Arabidopsis thaliana: one gene and its partner. Changing the gene in region 1 together with any one later gene gives a genetic interaction. Each region holds a gene or a part of one and is shown on either strand. Other genes may lie near its edges.

Region 1 (15,366 bases):
CCCACAATTATTTACGGATATATATTAGACTCCATAAGTAAATATCTCTTAGCCAAAAAAACTCATTCGTCTATAGTATTGTCACAATCCTAAATGACCGTTATCAAAGAAATATTATTAAATTTTGAGTATTTCAAAGATGTGTATAGTTTTTTAGACATAAATTGTTTTAAAATAGCATTAAAACGTCGTGATACAATAGAATGCAAAACAAAAACGATGAATTAATATAATTAAGATATCGGGTCAGATTGGTAATAGTGGTTGCTTTGCATTTTTTGATGTAGAAATATGATTGTAGGTATTTTGGCTATAGAATTTAAAATTTTAGAAAGACTAAAAAATTGTGCTTTAGAAAGAGAGGTTTTCTATAGCAAAAAAAATAAATCATGTAAATATTTTGAATGTGAGAAAAAGTCAAATCTTCTAAAACTTGATTGGTTCTATTTCAAAGCTTTAGATTTTTTTTTTCTTTGTAAAGACTCTAAAGCACTTGCCAATTATGCCCATCGCATTATATATTGCGTAAAACAATGAAAATAAACAAATTCATGTAAAAAATTAGAAACTAAATCTATTTAAAATAAAATATAAGCATGACGGTTACACGATCTTAGAATTATAAATGAAGGGTTTTTTTATTATAATTTTGTACTTAAATGTTATTTTCATTAATAGTTTAGGTAGAGTTTTATATGGACCGACTATTAAATGAGAGATTTTTTCATTAAAATTTTTTAGTTGAGGGGTTTTTCTATTAAAAAGTAAGTTCAGGGTTTTAAAATAGATTAATCTTGATGGTTTATGATCAATTATTAGTGGTTTATGATCAGAATATATTTGTTAACATGTCCTCTAATCATATCAGATTCATTTAGTCTCGGTGGAAAGCCGAATTTGATTTATCTGAATATTCAAACATGAAAAATTAGAGAGCTAGCTTTCGAAACTTAAAACACTTTTGTTGGAACACCATTTTAGATTATATGGTAGTAAATTTTAGATTAAGAGATTGTGGGATGTAACTATGATATCTTCTGTCCCGTTACGGACCAGAGCGGGATCGGAGACGATTAATCACAATGATCTGCTGTACCTTCGATTTTGGGAGTGTTTCTATCCCATCAACATCGGTATATGAGAACATGGACTTCATATTATGGTGTCAACCGAAGCATGACGGTTCAGAACAATAGACAGAGACATTCCTTTGGATTTTTTAGTATTTGGATAGTTACAAACGATAAAATATTCCAGGTAGTTATTGGAACAACTAGACATGTTAAAATATGCTTTAAGTGAACCAAAACATGGATTTAACCTCACATCATGTTGAAACATCCCGTTGAGAGGGTTGTTTTTAAAAACACAGCATAGATTGCCTATGGTCAGATTTGTGTGTATTCTTCCTAAACTGAGATGTGTAATCCCAAGTTTCTACTATTTTTTAACCATTCAACCCCATTTCTTCGTTCTTTATCCACTTCGTTTAGTTCCACCCTCTTCATTCGAAACCATAATATTTATCATTCTCTCGGTTATAAACAACACCACATAAAATCATATTGGAGTTGTAAGTCAGTACAATAGCTAGCAAACTTACAATCTTTTTTATTATATAAAAGACAGACTCTAACCAAATCCAAACCTAAAAAGCTCTCACTAAAGATATACTATTATTATATAGTGATTATGAAAACAACAAGCGAAGATAACAAAATTATCACCTAATTAAGTTATACAATAATAAGATATTATCAACCTCTTCCAAATGGATAATTTTGCTCAGGAAACTTCGCCTCACCATCCAAAGAAACTCCGCCACGAGCACTGCCGCGACCACCACCACCACCACCGCGATTTACATTTCTCACCATTCCTCCAACTCCAAGAAAATCTAACGTTAACTTGTCCGAGCCGCTCATATTTCCATTGTCTCCAAATTGAACGTCGAAGATACTGCCACCGGATCCGCCACCTCCATTAACGGCGGCTAATGAGTTCATTAGACCTTGAAGGTTTCCATTATTATCATTCTCCATAATTCGTCCTCCACCAAAGTGATTAGCGATAACACTTGATGAGTTAGACGAAGAAGCTAAGCCTCTGAACAAAGCAGATGGGTCGTTGCTTGTGACTGAACCCATTTGTGTAGCTTTCTGAAGTAGTGCCGTGGCTGACACGTTAGAACCCGCGTTCAAGTTTTCTTCACGGTGATGAACAAGAACGTCGGTGCTATATAGAGAAGGAAGACTCGTCTCTGAGTTCTTCGTGTTTTCTTGAAAGAATCCGAGGTTGAAGAAGCTGTTGTTGGTGCCGCTACTCTTGAGGTTGATGTTGTCGACTGGATCAAACTGTATCAGACCATGCTGGTTCATGAAACTCTGGTTATTGTTGTTTGGCGTTGTATTCAACATTCCTTGGCTCGAAGCGCTTTGGATTAGGAAGTTAGGGTTTGATGATTGCGGAATAAAGTCTCTCCTATTATCAGAAGATGCAATGTTCAGATTGTAACCCACGAGAGGGTTAAATCCAAAATTTGGATGGTCACTCAAATGGTGGTGTGAGAGAGCACTGCCACCGCCAAGTCTCCCGTAGATTCCGCCGGAGCCGACACCACTACTAGCAGCTGTCATTGACGTAAAGCTCACGGTAGGGTTTCTTGCAGTCTCTTGTATCAATGCATCGCAGAAAGCCCTATGCGTGATGTAACTATCACGTCTACAAAGCAAAACAAAAAGAAATGTAAATAACACAACGGTCGATAATAAAGTTATTAATTCATATATATGAAAACTTTATACTATATTTATTCCGTGAGTCATAATCAATAAATGCTATAGTTATTGTGGCTACCATTTAAAGGAGAGAATGAAAGAAGAATATAGAGGTCGAGTCAATTGCTAATTTAGTGAAAGACCTTCTTCATTTAATGCAAAACCCATGAATGTTAATATAAGTCAGTCACATTCTGCAACAACGTATATTACTCAAACCATGAAAATATAGAAAGAAACCCTAGAAGAGCATTAAAGTGTTCACCAGAACACTGTAATAAATATAAGTAACGCACTCTTACCAAATATGTATGTATCTATGTACGTATATATAAACATACATAGAGAGAGAAAGAGATAAGAAGAGGGTCCACAAATGAAGAGGAGTTTCGTAAAAAGGGGAACCTGCAAAGTGAAGAAGAAGAAAACAAAAGTAGAAAATAGAAAAACAAAATCCAACTCATGCATGTGAGTATGTGACCAAATTTAGCATCTTTTAAATTTTCTTACTTTCTATTCACTGTCTTTCTCTATTCACTACTCATCAACAACCAAACAAATACATTGATAGATCCTATGTACATTGTGACTACATACAATTTATAGGCGGTGTACTCGAGGTTCAAATTCCGTGGCCAAATATACAATATTTCAGTCACAGATGGTTATATATATTTGGTATTTTCCATGTAAATTAGTAAATAAGCTAAGTTTTACATGCAGTGTTGAATGCAGCTTTTACTTAGAATAGTTTTGCATTATAATACAAAATAAAGGTGGTCCATTAATTGTTATACTTTACCAAGATAAGAAGGTATATCTAGATGCCACACACACTGACACATATATTATACGTTTCATCACTTAAATCAAATACGAACAAATTATTTAAATGAAATGGATAGAGATTAGTTACCTAGAGAAGATGGTACCACAGTCACATCGATACTCTTTAGTACCACAAGTCTTAGAGTGAGCTTTCCAATCTGATTGAACAGCGTAACGCTTAGAACATTTCTCACATTTCCACTTCTTTTCGCCATGTTTACGGTAATAATGCTTCTTGATTCCGGTGAGGTCTCCGAGAGCACGTGACGGGTCATGGTGAACGCACGTTGGCTCCGGACAAAGATACACTTTCCTCTTCACTTCTTTGGTTGATTTTTGTTTCAGCTTCCATGGGAGATTGTGTCCTCTTCGGTGAAGCTGTAGATTTTGTTCTCTTTGAAACCCTTTGTTACATACATCGCATATGAATCTGTTTGTAGCCATTAGTGTCTTTGGAGATAATGCTACCACTTCCGCATCAGGATCTGTTTCATATAATTAAAGAATTTAATCATTTAAATTAAGTCACCAATTAGACCCAAAATGTCAATCTATGTAGACTATATCGAAAAAAATGATACACACACATGTAAACATAAATCAAATGACATATACACGTATAAACATATAAGATATACTGGCCTGTCAATATATATGAAATCTTGATACTAGCTAGATATACAAAACAAAATAGAACAAATGATTAGGGTTCTTTTTCTTCTTGGTATTATCTTAAAGCTTATATATAGTGATTCTTATAGAAAGGTGATAAATATATAGAGATTTATATGTAAGAGATACTTGCTTGGGTTTCCGGGTTGGTTTCTTCGTTTCTTGGGTGGTGGAGCTGAGGAGTTAGGTTGTTGAATCATTGACATAAAAGTATCTTTCCGGTTAAAGTCGTTATCTCCGGTGCCGGAGCTGGTGATGAAGAAAGGCTGAGCAGAGGATGATGATGAAGGAATAACGCTTGTGTTATATGATGATGACGACATCTTTAGATCTTCTTCTTTGCGTGGAAGAGAATAATCTACAAATAATTCGTAAGACAAAAAAGTTAAGAAGAAAACGAAGGGAGGAATTATAAGAACAGGAAAAATCCATAGAGATTGACGACATGAAGAAATTTTATAAAAACCATTTCACTAGAAGACATAAACAAAGAAAAACAAATTAAGAGTTTATACTTTTGTTTTTTGTTCCTAAACTTTTGAAAGAATTAAGAGGAAAGATTTCTAAGTTGTATTTTTCTTGTACCTGAGATCAAGAGAAAGAAACCAAGTAGAAGAAGGAAAAAAAATAGTCAAAATTAAAAGCTATAAATCGGAGCTAAAGAAAGAACCAAGAAGAAGATGATGCATGATGATGATGATGAGATAGAAGATGATGATGAAGAAGAAGACACTATTCCTATATATTATGTATTATAATACAAACACAAACCTCAAAGCCCTATCTCTCTCTATCTCTATATCTCTTTCTCTCTCTACTGTTTTGTGTTCTTCTTCTTTTAAAAATAAGCCATATATGAAATGATCTTGAAAAGTATGTCTCTAAGGTCCCCTCTCTGTCTCTATCATTTTATTTTATTTCGATTAATATAAAATAAAGCTACTTTTTTTCTTTCTTATAATTTAATTTGACAGAATTAAGAAGGATGGTTACGGTTTGGGTGTCACTGTTAAAACGGTGAAATGTGTCCACATGCGGGGGTGTGTTGTGGGTACCACATTTTTCTCATTCGTATCTTTCTGGTGAGCTTTAAGACAAAACCCTCGTTTTCTCTTCATTTAACTTGATTAGGTTTTGTTGTACTAACTTTTTTTTAATTGTTTTTATCTAATAAAATCGTTTATAATATAACATATCGTATATTAATACACATGATACACCAATCAATAGAGAATTTTTTAAAATTTGTTAGATTCTTGTATGAAAATTAATATATTGCTTTTCTTCTTTGGTTCAATTCTTCAACCTTTCAGAATGTTCAATGCAAAACAATCGAACCGATTGGTTTTGAATCAAACCTAATTAATCCTGAACGAGTAACCAACTCTCAACCGATCTGAATAGATTTTAAAACGATATATCACAAAATCTCCAATATCACTTTAAGAGCTTTGAGAAAATATTATTGATATATTATTATTCGACCGTAAAGTTTGATTTTCTCCTTTTCACTTGGGCTTTTTAATCTTATACAATTTAGTTTTATTTTAGTTTACAAACGACAACATATTTAAGTAACAGGTGACTTCTCAACTTGATCCTCTCTTCATTACCATCGATGCTTTTTAAGTTATACTGAGATCGTACCAACTGCAATGGGTCAGTGCCGGGCCATATTCAATCAGGGCCTCCCTGATTGGGTTGTAATATGATTTCAAGTTAGTAATATGAAATAGCACACAGTCACGCACACAAAAGAGCCTATATAAGGAGAGATATACCACAAACAGCCCAAGACCCAGTTGTTTTAGATGAACCAAAATTGTATGGAAATATTTAGTATTTGAAACTGCCGTCACCAAGATGGCAAGGTCAGAGAAACTCAATAACAACTCTGTTTCTGCCATTCCGAGAGTTAATATTAATTTTCAGAGTTAATGGATTAGCTAGTAAACATATATATACAAATGATAATAACCTGTAGAATGAGGATTAAGATCGAGAACGACGAGGTTATCTTTACCGCAACATTCCAAACGTAGCCAAAGCTCTATTACCATACCCCTCAATGTACATATCCAGCTTATAAGACTCCTATCCAGTATCCACCATCCAACGAAACACACTCTCAGATTCTTCCACATTATGAATACATGTCAACCAAATAATTTCTCACCTCAACCATCATTTCAAAACCAAATCTTCAAGCAAACCCCATGGATTTAAAAACCCTTTTCAAGTGCGTCAAACAAACCACAAGCTTTTAGATTTGTCGAGAAAGTGAAGTCGTTGGGCCCATTTCTTCGGATCCCTTAAGTTCACCATTAAGTACTCATTAGAGCCCATTTCTTGGGGCCCATTAAGAGATTAAGTCCGCGCGCATAGCTTTTGGAGGATGCCGCTCTTTTGTAAGAAGCAACACGTTGTTGAGTCTCTAACCTTTCTTTGAAATCTTGACCTTTCCCTTCCTTCTCCGCTAAATTCGTTTTAATTTCATCTTCTTCTTCTTCTTCAATTCGATGCAATAATAGTCACTTCAATCTCAATCTAGGGTTTTCAATTTTCTTCATGTGAATTTTTTTTCCCCTTCTTCTCAATTTCAATTCAATCTGGGATTCGTAAATTCTCGGAAGATGAAACGCGATTTCGACGAAATCTCCGAGGAAGAGTGGTCTCAACACTCGTTTAACGCTTCGCGAGTTCTTAAACGACCACGGACTCCGAAGAAGACTCGCGCGGCGACGAATCCAACGCCGTCGATTGAGTCTTTTGCGTTTAGGAGACCTTCGACGGCGATGACGATTGAGAGTAATAGCAGCGATGGTGATTGTGTTGAGATTGAGGATTTGGGAGATTCGGATTCGGATGTGAAGATTGTGAATGGTGAGGATTTGTTGTTAGAGGATGAAGAAGAAGTGGAAGAGACTAAGGTTGTGATGCGCGCTGCGAGAGTTGGTAGGAGATTTGTGATTGAAGATGAAGAAGCGAGTGATGATGATGATGATGAGGCTGAGAGTAGTGCTAGTGAGGATGAATTTGGAGGAGGAGGAGGAGGAAGTGGAGGAAGGAGAGGAGAAGATGAAGATGTTGTGGGGAAGGCATTGCAAAAGTGTGCTAAAATCTCAGCGGATCTTCGAAAAGAGCTTTATGGTACTTCTTCTGGTGTTACTGATAGATACTCTGAAGTTGAAACTTCTACTGTCAGGATTGTCACACAGGTACTGGAAATTATCACTTTGGTGTTCTTAAAGTAGTTGCTTTGAGACGATTTAGAGTGTCTTCCTTATACAATTGTGAAGTAACTTTTGATTAGATAGCATATTTTGGTGGTAAGCTTTGATTGGTTTGGTTAGAGTTTACTGTTTTGTTAACTAAAACTTGTTTACTTTTGGGTTGAATCTGTGATGATCGCAGAATGATATTGATGATGCATGTAAAGCAGAGGATTCTGATTTTCAGCCTATACTCAAGCCGTACCAGTTAGTTGGTGTTAACTTTCTTCTTCTGTTGTATAAGAAAGGAATTGAAGGAGGTATGTGTTTTTACTAGTTTCGATCTGTAAACCTTTTTAGCGTGAATGTCACTTTGTAACTCACTTTCTATTGTTTGTAGCCATTTTAGCCGATGAGATGGGTCTTGGAAAGACCATTCAGGTGCATTTTGCTCTGTTATTACTGGATAAGTTTTCTTTGTTTCTTTATCTTATAAAGAACTAATTTTGTTCTCATTTACCTTAGGCAATCACATATTTAACCCTCCTAAGTCGCTTAAACAATGACCCTGGTCCTCATTTGGTTGTATGCCCTGCCTCTGTCTTGGAAAACTGGGAGAGAGAGCTCAGAAAATGGTGTCCGTCGTTTACTGTACTTCAATACCACGGAGCTGCGAGAGCAGCCTACTCAAGAGAATTGAATTCTTTGTCAAAAGCTGGGAAGCCACCACCATTCAATGTGCTTCTTGTGTGTTACTCTCTGTTTGAACGGCATAGGTGCAACTCTTGATGCTTTTATTTGCTTTTTGGCTTTTCCTGTTACTCACAGATGTTGGAATTTTACAGTGAACAACAGAAAGATGACCGAAAAGTACTGAAACGGTGGCGCTGGAGCTGTGTTTTGATGGATGAAGCCCATGCGTTAAAGGATAAGAATAGTTATAGGTGGAAAAACTTGATGTCTGTGGCCAGAAACGCAAACCAGCGTCTTATGCTTACAGGAACGCCTCTACAAAATGATTTGCATGTACGGTTGGTTTCTGTTGATTTTTTCAGGATCTAATTACCTAATATAGACGACATTTCTTCATGTGGTCATACAATGCTTATTCCCTGCATATGTTTGGTCTATGCAGGAACTATGGTCGCTGTTGGAGTTCATGTTGCCTGATATATTTACGACAGAGAATGTTGACTTGAAGAAGTTGTTGAATGCAGAAGATACTGAGTTGATTACTCGAATGAAATCTATCTTAGGTCCTTTCATCTTGAGGCGTTTAAAATCTGATGTCATGCAGCAACTTGTTCCGAAGATACAGCGGGTATGGATATATCTATGCACAATTAAGTACACGATATTAATCTTCTAGCTGCAAATCTCATTAATTTCCCATCAATCCAATGCAGGTTGAATATGTATTAATGGAGAGAAAGCAGGAAGATGCATATAAAGAAGCCATAGAGGAGTATCGTGCTGCTTCTCAAGCACGGCTTGTGAAGCTTTCATCAAAATCCTTGAATTCTTTAGCCAAGGCACTTCCAAAGCGTCAAATTTCAAACTATTTTACTCAATTCCGGAAGGTAATTCTCAGCTACTAATACAAAGCCCCTTTTGTGCCAAATGAGTGTGTTATTCATGTGTTATTAAATTTTGGTTGTACAGATTGCAAACCATCCATTGTTAATTAGGCGGATATACAGCGATGAGGATGTCATTCGCATCGCCAGGAAATTGCACCCAATCGGTGCATTTGGATTTGAATGTTCCTTGGATAGAGTTATCGAGGAAGTTAAGGGTTTCAACGATTTCCGTATCCACCAGGTAAATGTTTCTCTTTCCAAAAGCAGTTGAATATCCATTAACAAACATGTTATGCAATTGAAGAAGCTAACTAACTTGTTTCTTTCCATAGCTTTTGTTCCAATATGGAGTTAACGATACCAAAGGAACTCTCTCAGACAAACATGTCATGCTCTCAGCAAAATGTCGGGTACGTGATATTCTTCTTCATTTCATAAGTCTTCTTTGTGAAACTGATTAAGTATAACTAAACCTGTGAGCGATCTAAATCTCCCTTTATGTATCAGACATTAGCTGAGCTTCTCCCTTCAATGAAGAAATCCGGCCATCGTGTTCTAATATTTAGTCAATGGACATCGATGCTCGATATCTTAGAATGGACACTTGATGTCATCGGCGTTACATACCGAAGACTTGACGGCAGGTAATAAAAGAAAAAAGAGTAATTTGTCACATTTTTGACGATTCTACAAAAAGGAAGAAGCTTAAGTCATTTTCCTTTTGTTTTCAACAGTACTCAAGTTACAGATAGACAAACCATAGTCGACACATTCAACAACGATAAGTCGATATTCGCATGTCTCTTGTCAACTCGAGCAGGTGGACAAGGTCTTAATTTAACCGGAGCGGATACAGTCATTATTCACGATATGGATTTTAATCCACAGATTGATCGGCAAGCTGAAGATCGTTGCCATCGTATTGGTCAAACAAAACCAGTCACTATCTTCAGGTTTGAGCTTTAAATCCTTGAATCAGTTTAGATAACTTTCAGAACAAAATTGTGGTTTGGATTGGTTTATGTGTGCTCTGTTTTGTATTCTCACATATATCTGTATTAACTCTGGCAATGCTGGTGCAGACTGGTGACGAAATCGACGGTTGATGAGAACATCTACGAGATAGCGAAGCGGAAACTAGTTCTTGATGCGGCGGTTCTAGAGTCCGGAGTTCACGTAGATGACAACGGAGACACGCCTGAGAAAACCATGGGAGAGATTCTTGCTTCTCTTCTCATGGGATAACATTATTGTTACCTTTTTTGTTTTGAGGTAAAATTAGTCAAGAAACGAAGTTAATGTGTTATTCTAAACATGTGTAACCACTAGCTATTATTAGACTTAAATTTAATAGATCACGATAGTTATATTTTCTTCTACGCATGTAAATTATAACCCAAAAATTTCCTTCTTTAGACCTAAAAGTCACAATTGTTCCAAACACTAAAATGTGGATCAGTGATCAAATGAAGTGAACCTTCAGGATAGTTTAGTCTTCGATCATCAAAGATTGTATAAAGGAGTGACTTAGCTGTATTTGTAGGTATCAAAATTGAAAACCTCACGCAATGATTAAAGGTCTCAAGTATCTTTATTCGTCAGAGTTGTATAAGACACAAATCTCACTAGATTGTTTTCCCATTGTCTTTGCCGAAACCTAACAATGAACAACTAGTTCTATTAGGATTGGTTCAAGAATGTCACATAGTATAAGTTTTTCTTAGCTGAAAAATTCTAGATAACTTGGAATAAATTCTAGATAGTCTTTTTTTTTTGCTACATTTGAAGATAAATATCTATGAAAATGTTCAAATTCATGATTATATTATTGCGATTAAATAATTGAATATGACTATACAAAATAATTCACTAGTAAATCAAAGCCATACTAAGTTTGGATTCTTTGTGGTAACTGCCATTGCCAAGTCACGTTTTGAAGGTGTTCTCATGGTCAATTTACACTTAAAATTGAACCTGAAAACTAAGGCCAACCGGAAACTTGTTGAATTGTGTGAAGTGAGAAAATGATAATCGTGTATAACTTATAAAGTCACATGATAAAGAGAAAGCAACCAGCTTTTTGTCTGCCATAACAGTTCTTTAAAATATAGCCACAATTATACTACTTAATTTAGAGTAACTAATCCCAAATATTACTTATCTAAGTAATAATTAGAAAAGTATTCGATATTTATTATCAATTGCGTTTTAACTTGCTATATAAATACAAAGTTTAATTTTTATATAACCCACTAACTTTTTCATTTTGGTATATGATAAAAATACTCTATCCCGTGACTATTCCACTTGTTGTTACTTTTTAGTTTTTTTTTTACATAGCCATTATCATTGTGGACTCCACAACATCCGCAAACTCAATTATTTACTTTTCTATACGTTTATTTGTTTTTTTCTGATACAAAATTTGGTGCATGAATGACTTCTCGAAACGGTAGATGGACTCCACAACATCTGCGTGTCTTGTCACCTTACGTTACGGACCACAATTTACACCTATGAAAGTGTCGGTAAAGCAAATAAAATCGAGAAACTCACACCACTCTTATTCAAATCCAAAGTGAATACTCCAAAAATAAAGTAAATGATATTTATCCAAAAATATCTAACAAACGCGTAAAATGTGAATTATCTTGAACGTTTTAATACCTCTTTACTCTCTTTATATAGTGCCATTTTCCTCACTAGCAGCAACACACTTGAACACTACTTTCGAACTCTCTCTTTATCTCTCTTGCAATGAAGCTCTCTATGCGTTTGATCTCAGCTGTTCTCATCATGTTCATGATATTCGTCGCCACTGGTTTGTTTCTCATAACCTAATATCTAATTTTCACACATAACCCATGTTTTATGATAACATATTTTAACATATATAGATAGTTTCATTTTTTATAACATTCTGTATTTATGGTTTCTATCGATTATTCTTGTGAATGCTCATTTAATTATAGTTAAGTTCACTTCGAAAGTTAAGTAATATGCATCAAGCATGAGACACATGAAACTAAGCTATGGTCTAAACGAAGTGTTCGTTTTGTGTTTTGATTTTGTCTAGGGATGGGACCAGTCACTGTGGAGGCACGCACTTGTGAGTCGCAGAGCCATAGGTTCAAGGGTACATGCGTGAGTGCATCAAACTGCGCCAACGTGTGCCACAACGAAGGCTTTGTCGGAGGTAACTGCCGTGGATTCCGTCGTCGTTGCTTCTGCACCAGACATTGCTGATCTACCCATTCTCATGCATAATTCAAGCTTTGATCCATCGTCGTGTGTCACTTCTTTCTTATCTAATCTTCCGTACAGTACCATGAAGTACCGTACATTAGTGTGTTCTCAAATAAGTCTTTGGATTTGTGTGTTTCCGGTTTAAATGTAATGTTAAATCAACTAATGACTTTGAGCCTTTGACTAGTAATAATCAAAATCTATGTTCTGATAACAAAGCTATTTTCCTTCGAAAATTATTTAACGCATCACTTCATGTCTCACCTTGAAGAGATCAACTATGATGAAACTTAAAAAAAAAATGAACATCAATCTTGTTATCTTGAAATGCGTTTTTTTTTTGTTGGCATTGAAAGAGTTTGTTTGCGATGGCATGGACTTTTCCGACGTGTGGGACAGTATCAATAATATGACCGAAGATAAAACATTTCCAAAGAGACTGATTATCCTCTAAATATCGGTATAACATACCAAAATTTACTTTTTGGATGTAATTGGTGGAGTAATAAATTAAAGTAGCGAGGAAAGAATAAAGAGGGAAAAAAATACGTGTGTATTTTTCTTTTTCTTTTCTATATATAAATACCAAATAGAAAATAAAAATTTAGTTTTTTTTTGCATCAGTGAGTATATAAAATACCATATATTAAGTTTATACAACCAGTAATGTTTTAATTTTATTTTTTTTGCCAACTTGGATTATATTGATATAGGATTAGATTAGGATTACAACATGACTTGAGTGAAGCCACCAAAAAATAGTCTCAAATGGAGACTCTGCTAGAATAGCATCAACACCGAGGGGATAAAGGATACCACTAGGGTCCTATATATACATAAATGGTTCTAATCAAAAGCACAAACAAACACAACACGATAATCATCAAGAAGAGAACAACACTCTCTCATCAATAAAGAGGATAAGCCGGAAAACTAGAAACCACATAAGATTGTAGTCCACAATCCATGGTAACACTTTGGACAATAAATTGATCAGCTCCTCTATTTGCAACACCTATGTTACATTTCTAACGAAAGACACTAAACCAAGCTCTCTTCTCAATCTTAATGAAAAACACTAGATGAGAAAAAGGGTCCTATGTCCAGAAAAAGAGAATTTTTAAAAATTATTGAAACTTTAAAAAATAGGGTCTGATTGGTAAATAAAAGCTGTATAAGTTTTCTAACTGTTAGTTGGAGTTGTTAGCTTTATTGAAATAGTACAAAACTGTTAAAAGAAGCTGTACAAAAAAGTTATAAAAAAAATTAAAATAAAATTTTTTATAACATTTTTAATAAAACTTTTATGATTGATAACTATTACAACTGTACAAACTGTACCGCTATTATAGTAGTTACTATTTTTTTTCACTGAAAAGTTGCCTTCCATTTCAAATTCCACTGTGAAGTTACAAAAAGTTTAACCAGTGGACTTTCCACTTACAAGTCTTAGGCAAACTGAAAATGAAAAAACATTGCTGAAGTAAAGAAAAAACAAACTGAAGCATTACAACAAAACAGAACATTAGAAAGAGTATGTCATAACCAAAAACCATACCCTACTAAGCAGGCTTCTTCGTCTTGAAGCTGTGATGCTTCTAGTCCTGCAATCTTTCCCAAAAAATGACAGAAAACGATCGAGTGGTTTAGCGTTTTTTTTGGAGGTTTCAGAATCCCTCCAGAGCGTTGAACATGATCAAAATGAGTTGGAGACCTCATCCTTTCAGTAGGACGTCTTGGTTCCCTGTTTTCATTTTGTCTTGATGCTTGACCACCTTCAAAGCACCTTCGATGGTCTGTGAAGTGAGTAGTTCTCCTTGCCAGAAAGTTGTTTGATCCTGATGACATATCCTGTCTGGAGGTGCTTGATTCTCCTACATCCCTGTGATTCTCGTTTGTTGCTGTTGCAAGATGAGGATAGGCAGCTGTAAATTCAGCGTGATTCACTGGTGGAGGATCCACTCTTGGAGGTGGAGTCAAGGGCACCGGAAAGGAGCTTTCAGTCATCTGAGATTGTGAGTTCATTGAAGATCTTTGAACACTATCACAGAAGAGGGCTCTTTCTCTTGCGATGCTAAGAGGACGTTGACGGTAGGGACAGTAAGCTCGATTGTGAGTAAATCTGAAACAGCTACTACATAGTCTTCGGAGTCGTTCATATTGGAACCTGATGGTTGCAGTTTCACCAGAGTCAAAGATGACTCTTTGAAAAAACCTCAGTCTGTCCGTTATACCAAAACGAACTCTAACTCTAATAAAAGCAATCTGAGGAGAGGTAGCCTCATGAAAGTCCAATGAAATGATCTCTCCTAGATCGTGAGCTATCTCCATAACTGTCTCTTCAGAAACATAAGGTAAGGGAATACCTCGAATTTGCACCCAGAGATCAATGGTAGTGACAAGGTTGTGAGCTGGAGCCACCTGCCATCGAGTTGCTGCAACGAACCAATTGTTGAAAAGCCACGGTTCTCTTCTTTGCACCATCAGTAGATCAATTTCATTTGCAAAAAGGAACTGGACATACGTTGCATCAAGAATTCTTCCATGCACCTGAGTCGTTAGTCCCCATGATCTTGGAAGTGCTACCACAACAGAGTTAAGATTTTGAACTCTTGGATTCAGAGGCCTAGCTATCAGACTTAGGTTATTTGAAGCTTCGACCATCACATAAGCTTCATGGGGAATGAAAAGGGCCGGATCCTCTTGTCCTAATTCTAGGTTTTGAATCTCATCCCACAACTCATCAGCCATATTGTTACTAGAGAAAACTACCTAAGCTAAAGGGATGGGAGATAGAATAACTAAGAAGAGAAGGAAAAGTATATAAAGAGATAAAGAAAGACAAAACCGACTGAGACTCTATTAAAATAACAAAATACTAAAAAAACTTCGTCTAAGTTAATTTAAAAAAAAAAACTAACCTAGATAAAGCTAATTAGACAATATTTATAAACTTAGGAATAATAGGACTTAAAGAACCGACTTATGAATAAGACAAAGAAAATAAAGCATCCCAATCTCCTATCACCCATAGGATTGAACAACTAACCT
Region 2 (17,092 bases), about 15 Mb from region 1:
GATCAGAGGCAATTTACGCTGGAGTCAACTTCCGCAAACCTGTGGAACCCTACTAAATGGAGCTTTTAGAAGCAAAGTGGTCTTCTTTGTGACGAGGAGAAGATGACCTGAGTTTGATCATTTGCTTTAATTAAATAAAACGTTCTGTTTTTGTTTCTTCTTTGTTTGGTTTCTTACGTCTTTTGTTGAACCCTTTTTGGGAAAAGTTACTCATTTTTGTAAGGGAAACATGAGAATGCTCTGCCTTTGTCGAGGACGGTAGCCCCTTATTTCAATCTAATTTCGGCTTTACTCTTTAATCTTCTCATGTGATTGTTATGATCTCTGGTGACATACGATGGAGTTTTAACAAAAATAAAATAAGTTCTTCATTATTATATTAAAATTGCAACTCTAGTAAAGGTTTTAAAATAGACCTGCTTGTGTTCATGACTACTATTATTCAACAAGAGTTCACACGTAAAAAAGGTGTGAACACTATCTGAAGATGACTAGAAAAACATTCATACAAAATTGTGTAGATAAATCATTTTCTTCTCGGTTTATCACTTTTATCGTTCACTTTCTGTTGAAATAAGCTTAATCAAGTGATGGTGAAGGACAAAAATTTCTTGAATTTGGGTTGTAGAATAATAACAAGTACTTGGTTTATTAACAGATATTCAATAAGCAGGTTTGCCCGAGTGGTTAAGGGGGAAGACTTAAGTTCTTCTGCACATAAGTGCGCGTGGGTTCGAACCCCACAGCCTGCATCTTTCTCTTTATTTTTTGAAATTTTCAATGCATGAAGTTTTTAGGAAAAAAGATTTTAGGAAAAATATGCAGGCTGTGGGGTTCGAACCCACGCGCACTTATGTGCAGAAGAACTTAAGTCTTCCCCCTTAACCACTCGGGCAAACCTGCCTTCTTGTCTATTGACTACTGAGAGAACAATCACAATTCTCAAACAGGAACAAGTATGTTTTGGTAACAAGTTTTATTATTGCTTTGCAATGTGAATCGAATAAAAAGACAAAGTAACAGTGTAATACAATTAAGTTCCCATTCAACATATCATTTCTTGGAACGTTTTAAGTAAACAAATAAACCTATGCTCGTTAGGACAATAGCACCAGCCAAGACGCCAGTCTGCCACCAAACACAACCGCCATTTCCCTCGGACAAATCTGCAATCGTCTCAAGAGGAGCAATTGTCTCGGTAAAATCAAGATGTAGTCGCAAAACCTTTTGCCCCAAAGACCTAGCAAAAGTTACAGCAGCAACAAGATCACTGTCCCTACTAATCAAAACTTTATCACCTTCATCATCTTGGTACATTATCTGAAGGCCTGAATCCGCTTCACATCTTTGCATCACAACACTCATCAGCTCTTCAAAACTCTCACCAGTTGAGTTAAACCGCTGTACTCTCCCTTTACGATCTTCGAATTTGAAAGCAAACGAGCTCACAAGTCCTTGTGATGGACACGACTGCTTCCCTTCTGAATTTATCAGCATTGCTGACATATCGCTGTGTGTTTCGTAATCCTCAGGTGGTTCTAACGCAAGAGCTGAGTCCCAGAACTTTTGCATCATTGTATTCGCCATATCGTTAACAGCTCCTGAGCTGTTGTTCTCAACCGTTGATATAGCTGCGTGAGTTATCTGCAGCACGTCTAAACAAGCTACGGCGAATCCGTCTTTATCGAAAACCGGCAGATGCAAGAACTTCCCATCATGCATTATATGCAATGCATCGAGGATTGTTGTCTCTATTGATGCACATTCAGGATTTGGCGTCATTACCTTTTCAACAAGAGTCAGCTCAGGAGATAGATTCTGTGCTACAACTCTCATGAGAATGTCCTTTGAAGTTAAAATCCCATGAATCTTGTTCCCAACCGCGATGATCACAGAGTTAACCCGCAAATCACGCATCTTTTTGGAAGCTACAAAGACAGGATCTGATGCTGATACAAGTGCAACTTTGGTATTCTCAGTGACTATAGTTGACAATGCAGGCTTGAACATCCTCTCTCTCAATGTATCAATGAAAGCGAAGTTTCCACTTCCCCAATGCCGTTCTTCCACTGCAGTAGCTAAAGCACTTCCTTGCTCTGCAGCTTTTTCCATCCGTGAGATAGCATCATAGAGACACTTTGTGATATCCAACAAAGCAATGACTTCACCATTCTCTACAACAGGCAAGTGCCTGAACTTTCCCTGAACCATCTTCTGAAGAGCCTCAATGGCAAGTGAATCAGATGTGACAAAAATGGGATTCCTTGTCATGACTTTAGACACCAGAGTATGCTCTGGTCTCAACCCTTCTGCAATCACCCTCGTGGCTATATCTTTGTCTGTAACAATACCGGAAAGAAGAGCGCTTGAATCAGTTAACAAAACCGCATCAACACGCCTAGCAGCCATCCTTCGACAAGCATCAAAGACAGTGGTTCCCTCATTAATAGTGAGAGCTTTGGATAACCGTAGCTTCTTGACTGTTCTCTCGCCATCAGAAACCGGTTGAGCAAGAGGTGAATCAGGTTTGGAGGTGTTCTCGTTAATGCTTCCGCTTCCGCTTTCGCTCTCTTCTGATTGAAGAACAGGTTTCTTAGAAGCTGATGATGTTCTCCTTATACTTGAAATGCTTCTTCTCCCAGATGAAGTTGGAGTAGTCGTCATATTGACGGTCTTTAATGACTCATCAATCTACAAAACCACATATACTTCTTAAGCAAACACAAGAAGAACAATCATTTGATCCATAATCTCTTTACATCTTCAGAAAAGAGATAATCAAACAACAAAACAGATCAAACAAAAAAACAGAACATGCAAATTCAGTAAGATAAGGACATACATTACTTATCTTAGATATTGGAGATTCAGACAAATTCAGGGTATCGATAATGGACATGAAGACAATGAGAATTCACGAATCCAACAAATTTTCAGAAATCTGATTCATATCTAAATGAAAGAATCTAACCTGTGAGATGCTATTTCAATGGCGTTGAAGATTTGGAAAAGTTTGAAACTTTCTCTGATGTTAATGTAATTTAGATTGTATGGGTTGGTGTATTGGTGTTGTTTACGAATGTTTCTTTCTGTTTCGTCTTCTATGAGCAAAACCCAATAATCAAAATCACAAATTTATATGTTTTGATCTTAAGAAAACTCACAAGGATTTGATTCCAGAAATAAGACTTTTCTTTCGCTATCTGTTCTTTTTTTCTCCTTTTGAGTTTTTTTCTATTTTCTGTTTTATTTTTTTAAAAATCGTTATCATCATCCTCCTTAACAACGTGTCTGGTGGTTGGTTTCTATCACTCAACCCAAAATTAAAAAAGAAGATTAATAGAACAATAATTCTGTTATTGTTGTTAGGTAGTAAGCTATGTTTAATAAATGAGGATTACCCTAAATGGGTGTTATTAGTTGGTGTCATTAGTAGATAAGGTTTATATTAGTCGATTTTATTTATCAGAGGTCATTTTAAGGAGTGAATTGTTTGGCGAATTGGCGTAAACAATATGTATATTCTACGTTATCACCATTATTAGGAGTATATATAAAGAACCTTTCTCGTTGGAGTTTGTTCATCAAAAGAATCGACTTATATACTTTCTAGAATGAATGTTCTAAGTGAACTTTTATAAACAATGATCCAAAAGATAGATCAATATTGCATGGGGAAAGGAACAGTTGAAAAAGTCATGCATTAATAAATAAAGTTTATACTTATTAAGTGGGTTATTGTAGTCTTCTTCTATGTGACATGTTTAAGATCGAAAGATGGCACTTGGCTTCCACTTGGCACTATCTCAGTTTGCATGAAATCACAATATGGTATTTGTCTCTTTGAGTTAAGTTTCACCATTGTTTATATGGATAATATCATGTCGATACAAAATGTATTATAATATCATAACATTATAACGTGTGCATGTAAAATAGGATTATAATAAGATAAGAATTAAGTGCTTTGCTAAAATTCAATGTAATTTATACTTTTCATGCATGGTGAATGAGTAAAAGAGTTGAATGAATCTGATACATGAGACGTGGATGGTAAGCGAGAGCTATGTCATTCACACGTCTCACACAGTGCGTGAAACGGGAATCTCCTGCCACCGCTTGAGAGGATTGACCTTATGGGATAAAAAAATCTTTCGACGCTTAAATCAGAAAATAATCACAAACATGTTATGAGAAAACAAATCAGCGAAGTCGTGGGTCTTGTATCCGCTGGTACTATTGCTCTGATTCTCTGTTTCCGGTCTTCAGCAAGATCCGATCATTATCTCCAGTCATACAAAGATTTTTTTGATTATTTATTTTTGTATATGTTGGATCTTTGTAATGTCCAAGACCTTACCCAAATTTTTGGGAAGGCCAATATTATAAAATTATGAATAAAACAAAGAACTAAGAACTATGGGAATGATATTTTTTTTTTTTTAATATATAAACTACGTGAATGATACCATATCATAAGACAAAAAATAGAAGTATGGATTGAGATACAAGCGTGGCGTCTTTGTTTTCAAGTGACCTATCTCCTTGATTATATTAAATAAAAACTAGTAAACAGGTTACATGATAGATTCGTAGATTAGTAGTATTTCAAGTTATAATTAAGATCAGGATATTTATAGTTACAGAGTATGATCGAGTAACAAGCGACGATTTATATGAGGTTTTTAGGCATGCCGGCTTTAGACTATAGTCGATGAAGCAAGGACTTTAAGGTCGACGCCAAAATATTTTTTATATTTTGAACTTTTGAGAACCCTAGTTAGGCCTAAGCTTCACTTTGCTTGGCACACAGCCGGTTATATTGGTGGATCAATGTATGGATATTTTGTATGTTTGGAGTGATGGCTTTATCGAACTCTCTGAACACAACTCTGCTAACCATACATCCACACGTCGTGTGATAATTAGATCTTATATAATAGTCCAAAAATGACTTCCAACTCATATATTTATATAAATAGTCTTCTTTTGTGGTTATATGTTTGGTTATTTCTATTTATAGTTTAATTCAATACCAATATTACAACTAAATCAGTTTAATTTTTCTTTGATTTGGTCTTTGAATTCACTTTCATGGTCAGTTTCATTGTTTAAGATAAACTTGAATGGATTAAACCGAATTAGGCATTCACTTTTGATCAGTCTCTTCTGCCATAATCTTCATAAGACAAACCCAAATTTGTAAAAACTTTTTTGAAAAAGAAACCGTAAGTAAAAGTAAAAGCGTTTAGGATCCAAGTATGGATTAGCTTCGTAATTTGAATTAGGTTTAGCTATACGAATTCGTTTACTTTTGTACCATATTTAGTTGTATTGTTTTCAATAATAGTTTTAAACATTCGAATAATCCGTTCCCAACTTTTTATCCACTATTATTCGTCTCAGTTTCTAGGATAGATATGTCCACACAAAAAAGCTCTTGATTTTTTTTTTTTTTTTTACAAATTCCAAATTTCTTTGCTCATAACCCAATCATTAGGTTATGACCACCATTGACTCACTCATAAGTCATAAGTCATAGGCTCATAACCAATCCAACAAGTTGTTAAGATTGACAACAACGATTCACTAAGATTCCAACCAAGTCCATGAAATAAATGATTTACAATACTCATTTCTCATGTACGTCTCTTTGAAGGTTTCTTGCATGACAGGAAATCAAAGGTTAGCACACTAATTACTCTTTTTTTCACACACATTCACAGTTTCACACATATGGTGCAGTATTTTGACTCCTATCGTACTAGACTAAAACATTTGGAATGATCAAAAACGAAAGACTCGTTGGGCAACTAGCCTAATAATCACTCTACTACACTAGCTCCCATATCAGTGGAAAATAATAATTCTAAAACGAATCATTTAACTTCTGCATATGTAAACGAAAACGTGTAAATTTATGAGATTACGTAAAAATTAGCAAAATAATATATTATTGATCAAAATTATAAACGTGGATTACATAACATGTTATTTGTTTAAATCATAATTTGATGATAAATTTATAAATAAAGTTCTAATTATTTTATATCTAAAGCAAAATTAAGATTATTTTATAATTTCTATTAATTATAAAATTAGTTAGTTCATATAATTTTAAATAGTTACGTAAACGAGAAAAAATACGAAATTTTAAAGAGAAAAAGATAACAGAAAAGACGATGATGACGATGACGATAACAACGACAATATTATTAACTTTTTAAATCATCTTTCCCATAGTCTAGGAGATTTTGTAGAAAAGAATCATTATTTTTAAAATAAAATTCCGTAAAACTTTTCCCGCCAACCAAACGAACTTTCGCCCTACATAAACAAACGGTTATGAAAAATAGTGAAACACACAACAACACATGTTATATCCTCTTCTTTATACGTTAGGCCAAAAAAGCTTTTTCTATATTACTCTTTAACTTCATCGATTCCAAGAGAAGAAACGAAGCATCAGTGATCTTATCCTCTCATAGCTACCACCGAACTAACTCTCTCCATCACCACCATAACCATTGATTCTACTGGTAATGAATTTTGTTTTTTTCTTACTTTTTTTTACATTTTGTTGTGAATCTAAAAAGTCTCTCTTTCACCTAACGAACGGATTAATCGTTCATGTCGCCACTCACCCAAAATCAATGACTTCCGGAGATCTCTCTTTCTCTAAAACCCCAGAAAAAAGTGGATCTGATCATTTTATAAAATCGTGATTTTTAAAAAAAATTGGTGATCTCTTTTATTGAAGAAATTATTGAACTTTTTGCAGTGGAAAAAATAGAAAGTTCCAAGCTTTTTCTCAAATGGTTCTGATTTAAGTAAGAGTGAAGAAAAGTAAAAATAGAGTCAGAAATGGAGAAACAGAGGAGAGAAGAAAGCAGCTTTCAACAACCTCCATGGATTCCTCAGACACCCATGAAGCCATTTTCACCGATCTGCCCATACACGGTGGAGGATCAATATCATAGCAGTCAATTGGAGGAAAGGTTTGTGCTTTTTTGTTCTAAAGTTGAGAAATTTCAAAGAGTAGTGATGGGTAATTGGTTAAGTAAGGTATTGATGCATGCAGGAGATTTGTTGGGAACAAGGATATGAGTGGTCTTGATCACTTGTCTTTTGGGGATTTGCTTGCTCTAGCTAACACTGCATCCCTCATATTCTCTGGTCAGACTCCAATACCTACAAGTAAGAGGGGATTTTGATTCTGGTCTCATGAGAAATGAAATCGCTTTGTCAAATTTTGATTCTGTTTGAGTTGGACTGAGAAAGATGTGATTCTCAATGTAGGAAACACAGAGGTTATGCAAAAAGGTACTGAAGAAGTGGAGAGTTTGAGCTCAGTGAGTAACAATGTTGCTGAACAGATCCTCAAGACTCCTGAAAAACCTAAGAGGAAGAAGCATCGGCCAAAGGTTCGTAGAGAAGCTAAACCCAAGAGGGAGCCTAAACCACGAGCTCCGAGGAAGTCTGTTGTCACCGATGGTCAAGAAAGCAAAACACCAAAGAGGAAATATGTGCGGAAGAAGGTTGAAGTCAGTAAGGATCAAGACGCTACTCCGGTTGAATCATCAGCAGCTGTTGAAACTTCAACTCGTCCTAAGAGGCTCTGTAGACGAGTCTTGGATTTTGAAGCCGAAAATGGAGAAAACCAGACCAACGGTGACATTAGAGAAGCAGGTGAGATGGAATCAGCTCTTCAAGAGAAGCAGTTAGATTCTGGGAATCAAGAGTTAAAAGATTGCCTTCTTTCGGCTCCTAGCACGCCCAAGAGAAAGCGCAGCCAAGGTAAAAGAAAGGGAGTTCAACCAAAGAAAAATGGCAGTAATCTAGAAGAAGTCGATATTTCGATGGCGCAAGCTGCAAAGAGAAGACAAGGACCAACTTGTTGCGACATGAATCTATCAGGGATTCAGTATGATGAGCAATGTGACTACCAGAAAATGCATTGGTTGTATTCCCCAAACTTGCAACAGGGAGGGATGAGATATGATGCCATTTGCAGCAAAGTATTCTCTGGACAACAGCACAATTATGTTTCTGCCTTTCACGCTACGTGCTACAGTTCCACATCTCAGCTCAGTGCTAATAGAGTCCTAACCGTTGAAGAAAGACGAGAAGGTATCTTTCAAGGAAGGCAAGAGTCTGAGCTAAATGTTCTCTCGGATAAGATAGACACGCCGATCAAGAAGAAAACAACAGGCCATGCTCGATTCCGGAATTTGTCTTCAATGAATAAACTTGTGGAAGTTCCTGAGCATTTAACCTCAGGATATTGTAGCAAGCCACAGCAAAATAATAAGATTCTTGTTGATACGCGGGTGACTGTGAGCAAAAAGAAGCCAACCAAGTCTGAGAAATCACAAACCAAACAGAAAAATCTTCTTCCGAATCTTTGCCGTTTTCCACCTTCATTTACTGGTAATGAATAGATACAGAACTATATTTCTTTGTTTTTTTGAATCTGTTAAATGCAGACTATTTCTTGATAATGATGATGTTTGATTCCTGCAGGTCTTTCTCCAGATGAACTTTGGAAACGACGTAACTCGATCGAAACAATCAGTGAGCTATTGCGTCTATTAGACATCAACAGGGAGCATTCTGAAACTGCTCTCGTTCCTTACACAATGAATAGCCAGATTGTACTCTTTGGTGGTGGCGCTGGAGCAATTGTGCCTGTAACTCCTGTTAAAAAACCACGCCCACGACCAAAGGTTGATCTAGACGATGAGACAGACAGAGTGTGGAAACTGCTATTGGAGAATATTAATAGCGAAGGTGTTGACGGATCAGACGAGCAGAAGGCGAAATGGTGGGAGGAAGAACGTAATGTGTTTCGAGGACGAGCTGACTCATTTATTGCAAGGATGCACCTTGTACAAGGTTATACACCACACTTGTCCTTTTATGTGTTTCTGTTCTAACCACATGGTTTCAATTAGTATGTCTCAGCTACTGCTTCTTGTTATGGTCTTTGGTTTCTAACAGGGGATCGACGTTTTACGCCTTGGAAGGGATCCGTCGTGGATTCTGTTGTTGGAGTATTTCTCACTCAAAATGTTTCAGACCATCTCTCAAGGTACAAGCTCTTACATAATTCTATGTCAAACTAAATCCAAGACAGCAAAAAGTCACAAAACTAACTTGCTTTGATGTTTTTTACTCCTTGTAGTTCGGCTTTCATGTCGTTGGCTTCCCAGTTCCCTGTCCCTTTTGTACCGAGCAGTAACTTTGACGCTGGAACAAGCTCGATGCCTTCTATTCAAATAACGTACTTGGACTCAGAGGAAACGATGTCAAGCCCACCCGATCACAATCACAGTTCTGTTACTTTGAAAAATACACAGCCTGATGAGGAGAAGGATTATGTACCTAGCAATGAAACCTCCAGAAGCAGTAGTGAGATTGCCATCTCAGCCCATGAATCAGTTGACAAAACCACGGATTCAAAGGAGTATGTTGATTCAGATCGAAAAGGCTCAAGTGTAGAGGTTGATAAGACGGATGAGAAGTGTCGTGTCCTGAACCTGTTTCCATCTGAAGATTCTGCACTTACATGTCAACATTCGATGGTGTCTGATGCTCCTCAAAATACAGAGAGAGCAGGATCAAGCTCAGAGATCGACTTAGAAGGAGAGTATCGTACTTCCTTTATGAAGCTCCTACAGGGGGTACAAGTCTCTCTAGAAGATTCCAATCAAGTATCACCAAATATGTCTCCGGGTGATTGTAGCTCAGAAATTAAGGGTTTCCAGTCAATGAAAGAGCCCACAAAATCCTCTGTTGATAGTAGTGAACCTGGTTGTTGCTCTCAGCAAGATGGGGATGTTTTGAGTTGTCAGAAACCTACCTTAAAAGAAAAAGGGAAAAAGGTTTTGAAGGAGGAAAAAAAAGCGTTTGACTGGGATTGTTTAAGAAGAGAAGCCCAAGCTAGAGCAGGAATTAGAGAAAAAACAAGAAGTACAATGGACACCGTGGATTGGAAGGCAATACGAGCAGCAGATGTTAAGGAAGTTGCTGAAACAATCAAGAGTCGCGGGATGAACCATAAACTTGCAGAACGTATACAGGTAAAAATTTAGTGGCTAAATTTCGTGATAACATTCATTTTAAGTATTTGACTCTGAACATGAAAATCATGCAGGGCTTCCTTGATCGACTGGTAAATGACCATGGAAGTATCGATCTTGAATGGTTGAGAGATGTTCCACCAGATAAAGCAAAGTAAGTTTGAAAGACGAAGCATTTTATTTCTTCTTTATTAACCTATACAAAGATTACTACTTTGGCAGTTTTAGTGACTTAATAATGAATTATGTACTCTCGTATATTACAAAACCCTGCAGAGAATATCTTCTGAGCTTTAACGGATTGGGACTGAAAAGTGTGGAGTGTGTGCGGCTTCTAACACTTCACCATCTTGCCTTTCCAGTAAGCAAGGATCAAACTTTTGTTTCTGTCCCTATAAAAAGTGAATTATATGATGCATGAACTTAATTTATTGACAGGTTGATACAAATGTTGGGCGCATAGCCGTCAGACTTGGATGGGTGCCCCTTCAGCCGCTCCCAGAGTCACTTCAGTTGCATCTTCTGGAAATGTAAGCACTTTTCAAAATGGTCCTACTTGGAAATTGTAATTTGTTACTTAATACATCTGAGGTTTGGTTTGTCTAGGTATCCTATGCTTGAATCTATTCAAAAGTATCTTTGGCCCCGTCTCTGCAAACTCGACCAAAAAACATTGTAAGAATGATGTTTATCACTAACTTTTTTTTTTTCATGCCTCAGTCTAATACACTTATTCATTAGTTTAATACCCTATTATCTCACAGGTATGAGTTGCACTACCAGATGATTACTTTTGGAAAGGTATGTATTAAAGAAATACATATATACGTATGTCAAAATCAGCTCACATGATGAGGTTTGTAATCTGCTTGATTATTGTATCAGGTCTTTTGCACAAAGAGCAAACCTAATTGCAATGCATGTCCGATGAAAGGAGAATGCAGACATTTTGCCAGTGCGTTTGCAAGGTGCTACAACATGTTCTCTTAAACCTTTAGTACCACTATGACTCTATGAGGAAAGTCCTTGTTAAAATATAACCCAGTTAAATGAGAATTGGTCTGTATCTAAACGAAGCTCTGAATCATCATTACAGAAAATTTAGTAACATTCATTTGTTTTACAGTGCAAGGCTTGCTTTACCAAGTACAGAGAAAGGTATGGGGACACCTGATAAAAACCCTTTGCCTCTACACCTGCCAGAGCCATTCCAGAGAGAGCAAGGGTCTGAAGTAGTACAGCACTCAGAACCAGCAAAAAAGGTCACATGTTGTGAACCAATCATCGAAGAGCCTGCTTCACCGGAGCCAGAAACCGCAGAAGTATCAATAGCTGACATAGAGGAGGCGTTTTTTGAGGATCCAGAAGAAATTCCTACCATCAGGCTAAACATGGATGCATTTACCAGTAACTTGAAGAAGATAATGGAACACAACAAGGAACTTCAAGACGGAAACATGTCCAGCGCTTTAGTTGCACTTACTGCTGAAACTGCTTCTCTTCCAATGCCTAAGCTCAAGAATATCAGCCAGTTAAGGACAGAACACCGAGTGTAAGAATCCATTTTTCTCTGTTTTTCTTCGTTCTTAGGTTAAAAATGAAATCAGAAACACATTTTTCAAAATTATTAAAGCTTGAACAGAGTAGAATATTTAAGTGATTGACCAAGCATGAACTCGTAAGTTGGAAAGCAGACAAACTTCCCAATAATTACAGGCTATGCCATAACTTGTTTCTTTTCCCGTATCTTGCAGTTACGAACTTCCAGACGAGCATCCTCTTCTAGCTCAGGTATGTGAGCTAACTGGATAAGGACACATGCCGTATAGAGTGCTGTCTATATTGTAAAATCTGACTAGCTGTTTGTGATTTCTTGTGGCAGTTGGAAAAGAGAGAACCTGATGATCCATGTTCTTATTTGCTTGCTATATGGACGCCAGGTAATTTAATGATTTGCATATCTTTTAATCATGAAATCAAATCGGTATCTTTAATCGATGTGTTATTCAACAGGTGAGACGGCTGATTCTATTCAACCGTCTGTTAGTACGTGCATATTCCAAGCAAATGGTATGCTTTGTGACGAGGAGACTTGTTTCTCCTGCAACAGCATCAAGGAGACTAGATCTCAAATTGTGAGAGGGACAATTTTGGTAAGTAGTTGCATCAATCTCCTTATGCGGCTTACTACACTTATGTTTTCTACAGATTAATATGTTGTAAATTGTACAGATTCCTTGTAGAACAGCGATGAGGGGTAGTTTTCCTCTAAATGGAACGTACTTTCAAGTAAATGAGGTAAGACTTGAACTCCAATAACTCCAACTCTTTCATTTTAATTATTTGCATTGAAACTTGTGATGTATTCTATTGATACAGGTGTTTGCGGATCATGCATCCAGCCTAAACCCAATCAATGTCCCAAGGGAATTGATATGGGAATTACCTCGAAGAACGGTCTATTTTGGTACCTCTGTTCCTACGATATTCAAAGGTATAAGATTTTCTTTATTGGATTGTGATGCGATTGTTTATATAAAAGAAAGTTGTTCTAACCACTTGAGCTCTATTTTTCTCAGGTTTATCAACTGAGAAGATACAGGCTTGCTTTTGGAAAGGTACATTTTGTATTAAGCAGTTTCTTCTTGTTCTGAAACATAACTTATCTTTTGATATTATGTAGGGTACGTATGTGTACGTGGATTTGATCGAAAGACGAGGGGACCGAAGCCTTTGATTGCAAGATTGCACTTCCCGGCGAGCAAACTGAAGGGACAACAAGCTAACCTCGCCTAATCCGTTGGCAAGCAAACAAATACAAGCTTATGGTTAAGAGTGAGAGAGCACACTGTTCCAATCTAGTTAATGTAAGAAAGTGAAAACGTAAAGTTAACAGTCCTAGAGTTGTACAAGGTTTCTAAATCCCATTTTAGTTTCGTCTTAAATTTGTATCAAACACTTGTCACAAAAAACAGACCCGTAGCTGTGTAAACTCTCTGTTCCCTTCGTTTGGTTTATATCTGAATTTACGGTTAGCTTTTGGTTACCTGAATCAAGATCTGGTTCGATATGTGGAGGATCTCACTTAACTTGGTTTAAATCAGATAGTTCAACCGGACCAAAGAATTCTATTGTTGTCAAATATTAGATGATGGGCCTATTATACATGGAATGTGGGTCATTAAATGGGCCTAAATATTTTTGGAACCAGCTCCGATCTTCAACTTTTTTTTGTCTCGTCTCCATAAAATCCCCAATTCACAACCCTAATTGATCGGAGATTGTCCAAACTCTCTGACATTTTTGCCGAATTCGAAGCATTCCTTCTATCTTCTCCGTCTTCTTCGCAGAATCGCGTTATGCATCTCAATTTTTAGATTGTAACTTAGGGTTACTGATTGTTGTAATGCTCTGAATTCCCCTCTAACGAGGATTTGTTGTCACTGCAATCGATTTTTGCCGATTAGGTTTAATTTAGGGCATTATTTGCGTACCTCTTGTATTGTATAGTTCTTTGGAATGGAGAATCCTCGTAGACCGTTTGATAGATCCAGAGATCCAGGTCCGATGAAGAAACCCAGGCTCAGCGAGGAATCAATCCGGCCTGTTAATTCCAACGCGCGGCAGTTTTTGTCGCAGAGAACGCTTGGTACGGCTACGGCGGTGACAGTGCCACCTGCTTCGTCAAGGTTTCGAGTTAGTGGTAGAGAAACTGAGAGTAGTATTGTCAGTGATCCGAGCCGAGAGGCTTACCAGCCACAGCCGGTTCATCCACATTATGAGCTTGTGAATCAGTACAAGTCTGCACTGGCTGAGCTCACTTTCAACTCGAAGCCGATAATAACGAACCTTACAATAATTGCTGGAGAGAATGTTCATGCTGCTAAAGCCGTCGTAACCGCCATTTGCAACAACATCCTCGAGGTGAACACCCAGTTTTCATGCCCACTGTTTTGTTGTTATAATCCGTGCTTTAGTTCTCAAATTCTTGTTTGAGTAATAATAATTGTACGATATAAGGGGAATAAGGTAAAAGGTGGTGGTTGAGATTTGTGTTATCTGTATACGAGGTTCAATGAGAAATTGAGTTTTTTGAATCAACCCTAGTATCCTTTTCTGGGATCTATGTGTTTTTATATTTCTTCATCAAGTCGCAAATCATTTCTTTGAAACAAAGTTCATAGTACTGACACAATGTTGTTAACAATCTAAAAAATAGCTGTTGCCCATGCAACCATTTTGTTCATGTTCATATATCAAGAATGCATATATCAGCTCATCATGTGATTGTACTGAGTTTTGGTTATATGAGTGTGTAGTCTCTTTATCAGCGTTAGAGTTTTTTGTATCTCACTTTACCATTTAGCAAGGGCTTTCATAAGCTCTGTTTTTATTGAGGTTGGATTTTCTGTTGGCGGTTTCTGCTTACCGCATGCTCTCCACAAAGCCAAGTCAACTTTTATTCAGTCTTTGGGTAGCAAGGAAGCACTCAATAGAAGGAGCCTGATCCATCAAGTCTGTGTGGAGAGTGAAGACAAGAATTGCTATTGCAGTGTTGTTTACATCGTCTAATGGTTATCTGTGTCTATTGTTGGATTTCTAGTTGTCAGAATATGTGTTAGTATTAGCTTGAATGTCATCTTGGTCTGTGCTTTTGATTCTACTTTAAGTTATTGATTTCTTTCATTACCTTTAGAGGCTCATGTGGAAATCTCGATGTTACTCTCTATGAGATCAAATTGGCCTTTTTTCTTCTGGGTTATCTGATTTGAAGAATATCATGCAGGTACCAAGTGATCAGAAGCTGCCAACACTGTACCTGTTAGACAGCATTGTGAAGAACATCGGAAGGGATTACATTAAGTACTTTGGTGCCAGGCTGCCTGAGGTTTGGTGCTTTGTTGATAGTCATGGTTATAGAATGTTTTTTTCCTAGCAAATTCATCTCTGATCACCCTCTTTTTACTTCTCTGAAGGTTTTTGTTAAGGCTTACAGGCAAGTTGACCCTCCTATGCATTCTAACATGCGGCATCTTTTTGGAACCTGGAAAGGAGTCTTTCATCCGCAAACACTTCAGCTTATTGAGAAAGAACTTGGCTTTAATGCTAAAAGTGATGGTTCAGCAGCTGTTGTATCCACAGCCAGAGCTGAGCCGCAATCTCAGCGCCCACCACATAGCATCCATGTGAATCCCAAGTATCTAGAAAGGCAGCGCCTTCAGCAGTCGGGACGGGTAAGCAATGACCAAAGTAAACTTGCAGCCACTGAAAGTTATTAGTGATGATACACCCTAACCTTCAGCTCTACTAGAGATTTCGCTGTTCTAAGTGTTCATAAATGTAACCTTCAGGAGTACTAAACATTTCTCTGTTCTAAGTGTTCACAAATGTAGGGAACATTTCTTTTTCGGTTTAGATAGCAATCAATTTCTTTCAAAGGGTCCTGGGTTTCTGGATATAGGTAGAGGCTACTTATCGACTTTATTAAAATTTCCCTGAGTATTTGTCGGTTTTCTTTGCAGACAAAAGGAATGGTTACTGATGTCCCAGAGACCGCACCCAATTTGACTAGGGATTCAGATAGACTGGAGAGAGTTTCAAGCATAGCATCTGGAGGCTCGTGGGTAGGTCCAGCTAAAGTAAATGTAAGATGATTTTTCCTTGGCATGGTTACAGTTTTTTTACCTAAGTGCTTTCCACTGATTGTGTGTCGAATTCAGAACATTCGGCGACCTCAAAGAGATTTACTTAGTGAGCCCCTCTACGAGAAAGATATCGAGTCAATAGCAGGGGAATATGATTATGCTTCTGATCTACCACATAACTCTAGATCGGTGATTAAGAATGTTGGTTCAAGGATTACTGATGACGGATGTGAGAAACAATGGTACGGAGCTACGAACAGGGATCCTGATCTGATTTCTGACCAAAGGGATGGGTTACATTCCAAAAGCAGAACTTCCAACTATGCTACGGCTAGAGTAGAAAATTTGGAATCAAGTGGTCCCAGTAGAAATATAGGTGTGCCTTATGATAGTTGGAAAAACTCTGAGGAAGAAGAGTTTATGTGGGATATGCACTCAAGGTTATCCGAAACTGATGTAGCCACTATCAACCCAAAGAACGAGCTTCATGCACCAGATGAATCAGAGAGACTGGTAAGCTATGATAGTAATTTGCATTCCTTTTTATTGTGATGTATCTCATTTTAATTTGTTAGCTTTTAACCATCTCCCATCTTGTAGGAATCTGAAAACCACCTCTTAAAACGACCAAGGTTTTCAGCTCTCGACCCAAGGTTTGACCCAGCGAATTCAACAAATTCATATTCCAGCGAGCAAAAAGATCCAAGTAGTATTGGGCACTGGGCGTTTTCTTCTACCAATGCAACCTCGACTGCAACTAGAAAGGGAATTCAGCCTCAACCAAGGGTTGCAAGCTCTGGAATTTTGCCAAGCTCAGGATCTGGGTCAGATAGACAATCGCCTTTACATGATTCAACTTCTAAACAGAATGTGACCAAGCAAGATGTTAGAAGAGCTCACTCACTCCCCCAACGTGATCCTAGGGCTTCCCGGTTTCCAGCAAAACAAAATGTTCCCAGGGATGACTCTGTACGGCTCCCATCTTCAAGTAGTCAGTTTAAAAACACAAATATGCGTGAACTACCAGTGGAAATCTTTGACTCTAAGTCAGCAGCTGAAAATGCCCCAGGCCTTACTCTTGCCTCAGAAGCTACAGGACAACCCAACATGAGTGATTTGCTAGAAGCTGTCATGAAGAGTGGAATCCTTTCTAATAATTCAACATGTGGTGCGATCAAGGAGGAAAGTCATGATGAGGTCAACCCGGGGGCACTAACCCTGCCAGCAGCCTCTAAGCCTAAGACTTTGCCAATTTCATTGGCTACTGACAATTTATTAGCTCGTTTAAAAGTTGAACAATCCTCCGCACCACTTGTCTCATGTGCAGCGTCTCTTACTGGCATCACCTCAGTACAAACGTCAAAA

Evidence for each region.
Region 2: of ETL1 (region 1) and DML1, changing one suppresses a phenotype caused by changing the other (phenotypic suppression), as found in Arabidopsis thaliana (one study listed by BioGRID).

What each region holds. Positions count from the first base shown.
Region 1 is NC_003071.7:516,571-531,936, forward strand, and holds ETL1 (SNF2 domain-containing protein / helicase domain-containing protein), read left to right. Parts: upstream 1-6,652; 5' UTR 6,653-6,910; coding exon 6,911-7,495; intron 7,496-7,691; coding exon 7,692-7,809; intron 7,810-7,889; coding exon 7,890-7,930; intron 7,931-8,014; coding exon 8,015-8,265; intron 8,266-8,334; coding exon 8,335-8,515; intron 8,516-8,624; coding exon 8,625-8,810; intron 8,811-8,895; coding exon 8,896-9,069; intron 9,070-9,151; coding exon 9,152-9,310; intron 9,311-9,401; coding exon 9,402-9,479; intron 9,480-9,576; coding exon 9,577-9,713; intron 9,714-9,803; coding exon 9,804-10,022; intron 10,023-10,151; coding exon 10,152-10,314; 3' UTR 10,315-10,498; downstream 10,499-15,366. Other genes in the region: IDD4 (indeterminate(ID)-domain 4), read right to left, coding at 1,758-2,721, 3,694-4,090, 4,411-4,600; LCR69 (low-molecular-weight cysteine-rich 69), read left to right, coding at 11,827-11,890, 12,146-12,315; AT2G02103 (Ta11-like non-LTR retrotransposon), read right to left, coding at 13,855-15,066. UniProt on the Arabidopsis thaliana protein: DNA helicase that possesses intrinsic ATP-dependent nucleosome-remodeling activity and is both required for DNA repair and heterochromatin organization.
Region 2 is NC_003071.7:15,304,045-15,321,136, reverse strand, and holds DML1 (demeter-like 1), read left to right. Parts: upstream 1-6,329; 5' UTR 6,330-6,539; intron 6,540-6,781; 5' UTR 6,782-6,864; coding exon 6,865-6,998; intron 6,999-7,081; coding exon 7,082-7,197; intron 7,198-7,299; coding exon 7,300-8,430; intron 8,431-8,523; coding exon 8,524-8,895; intron 8,896-9,000; coding exon 9,001-9,091; intron 9,092-9,184; coding exon 9,185-10,082; intron 10,083-10,156; coding exon 10,157-10,236; intron 10,237-10,358; coding exon 10,359-10,443; intron 10,444-10,520; coding exon 10,521-10,612; intron 10,613-10,688; coding exon 10,689-10,757; intron 10,758-10,846; coding exon 10,847-10,883; intron 10,884-10,967; coding exon 10,968-11,050; intron 11,051-11,208; coding exon 11,209-11,634; intron 11,635-11,836; coding exon 11,837-11,873; intron 11,874-11,964; coding exon 11,965-12,022; intron 12,023-12,095; coding exon 12,096-12,235; intron 12,236-12,314; coding exon 12,315-12,380; intron 12,381-12,461; coding exon 12,462-12,576; intron 12,577-12,661; and 5 more. Other genes in the region: LOS2 (Enolase), read left to right, coding at 1-56; AT2G36500 (CBS / octicosapeptide/Phox/Bemp1 (PB1) domains-containing protein), read right to left, coding at 1,054-2,664; AT2G36480 (pre-mRNA cleavage complex 2 Pcf11-like protein), read left to right, coding at 13,602-14,006, 14,869-14,970, 15,059-15,316, 15,605-15,727, 15,803-16,240, 16,328-17,092. UniProt on the Arabidopsis thaliana protein: Bifunctional DNA glycosylase/lyase, which excises 5-methylcytosine (5-meC) and 5-hydroxymethylcytosine (5-hmeC), leaving an apyrimidinic (AP) site that is subsequently incised by the lyase activity.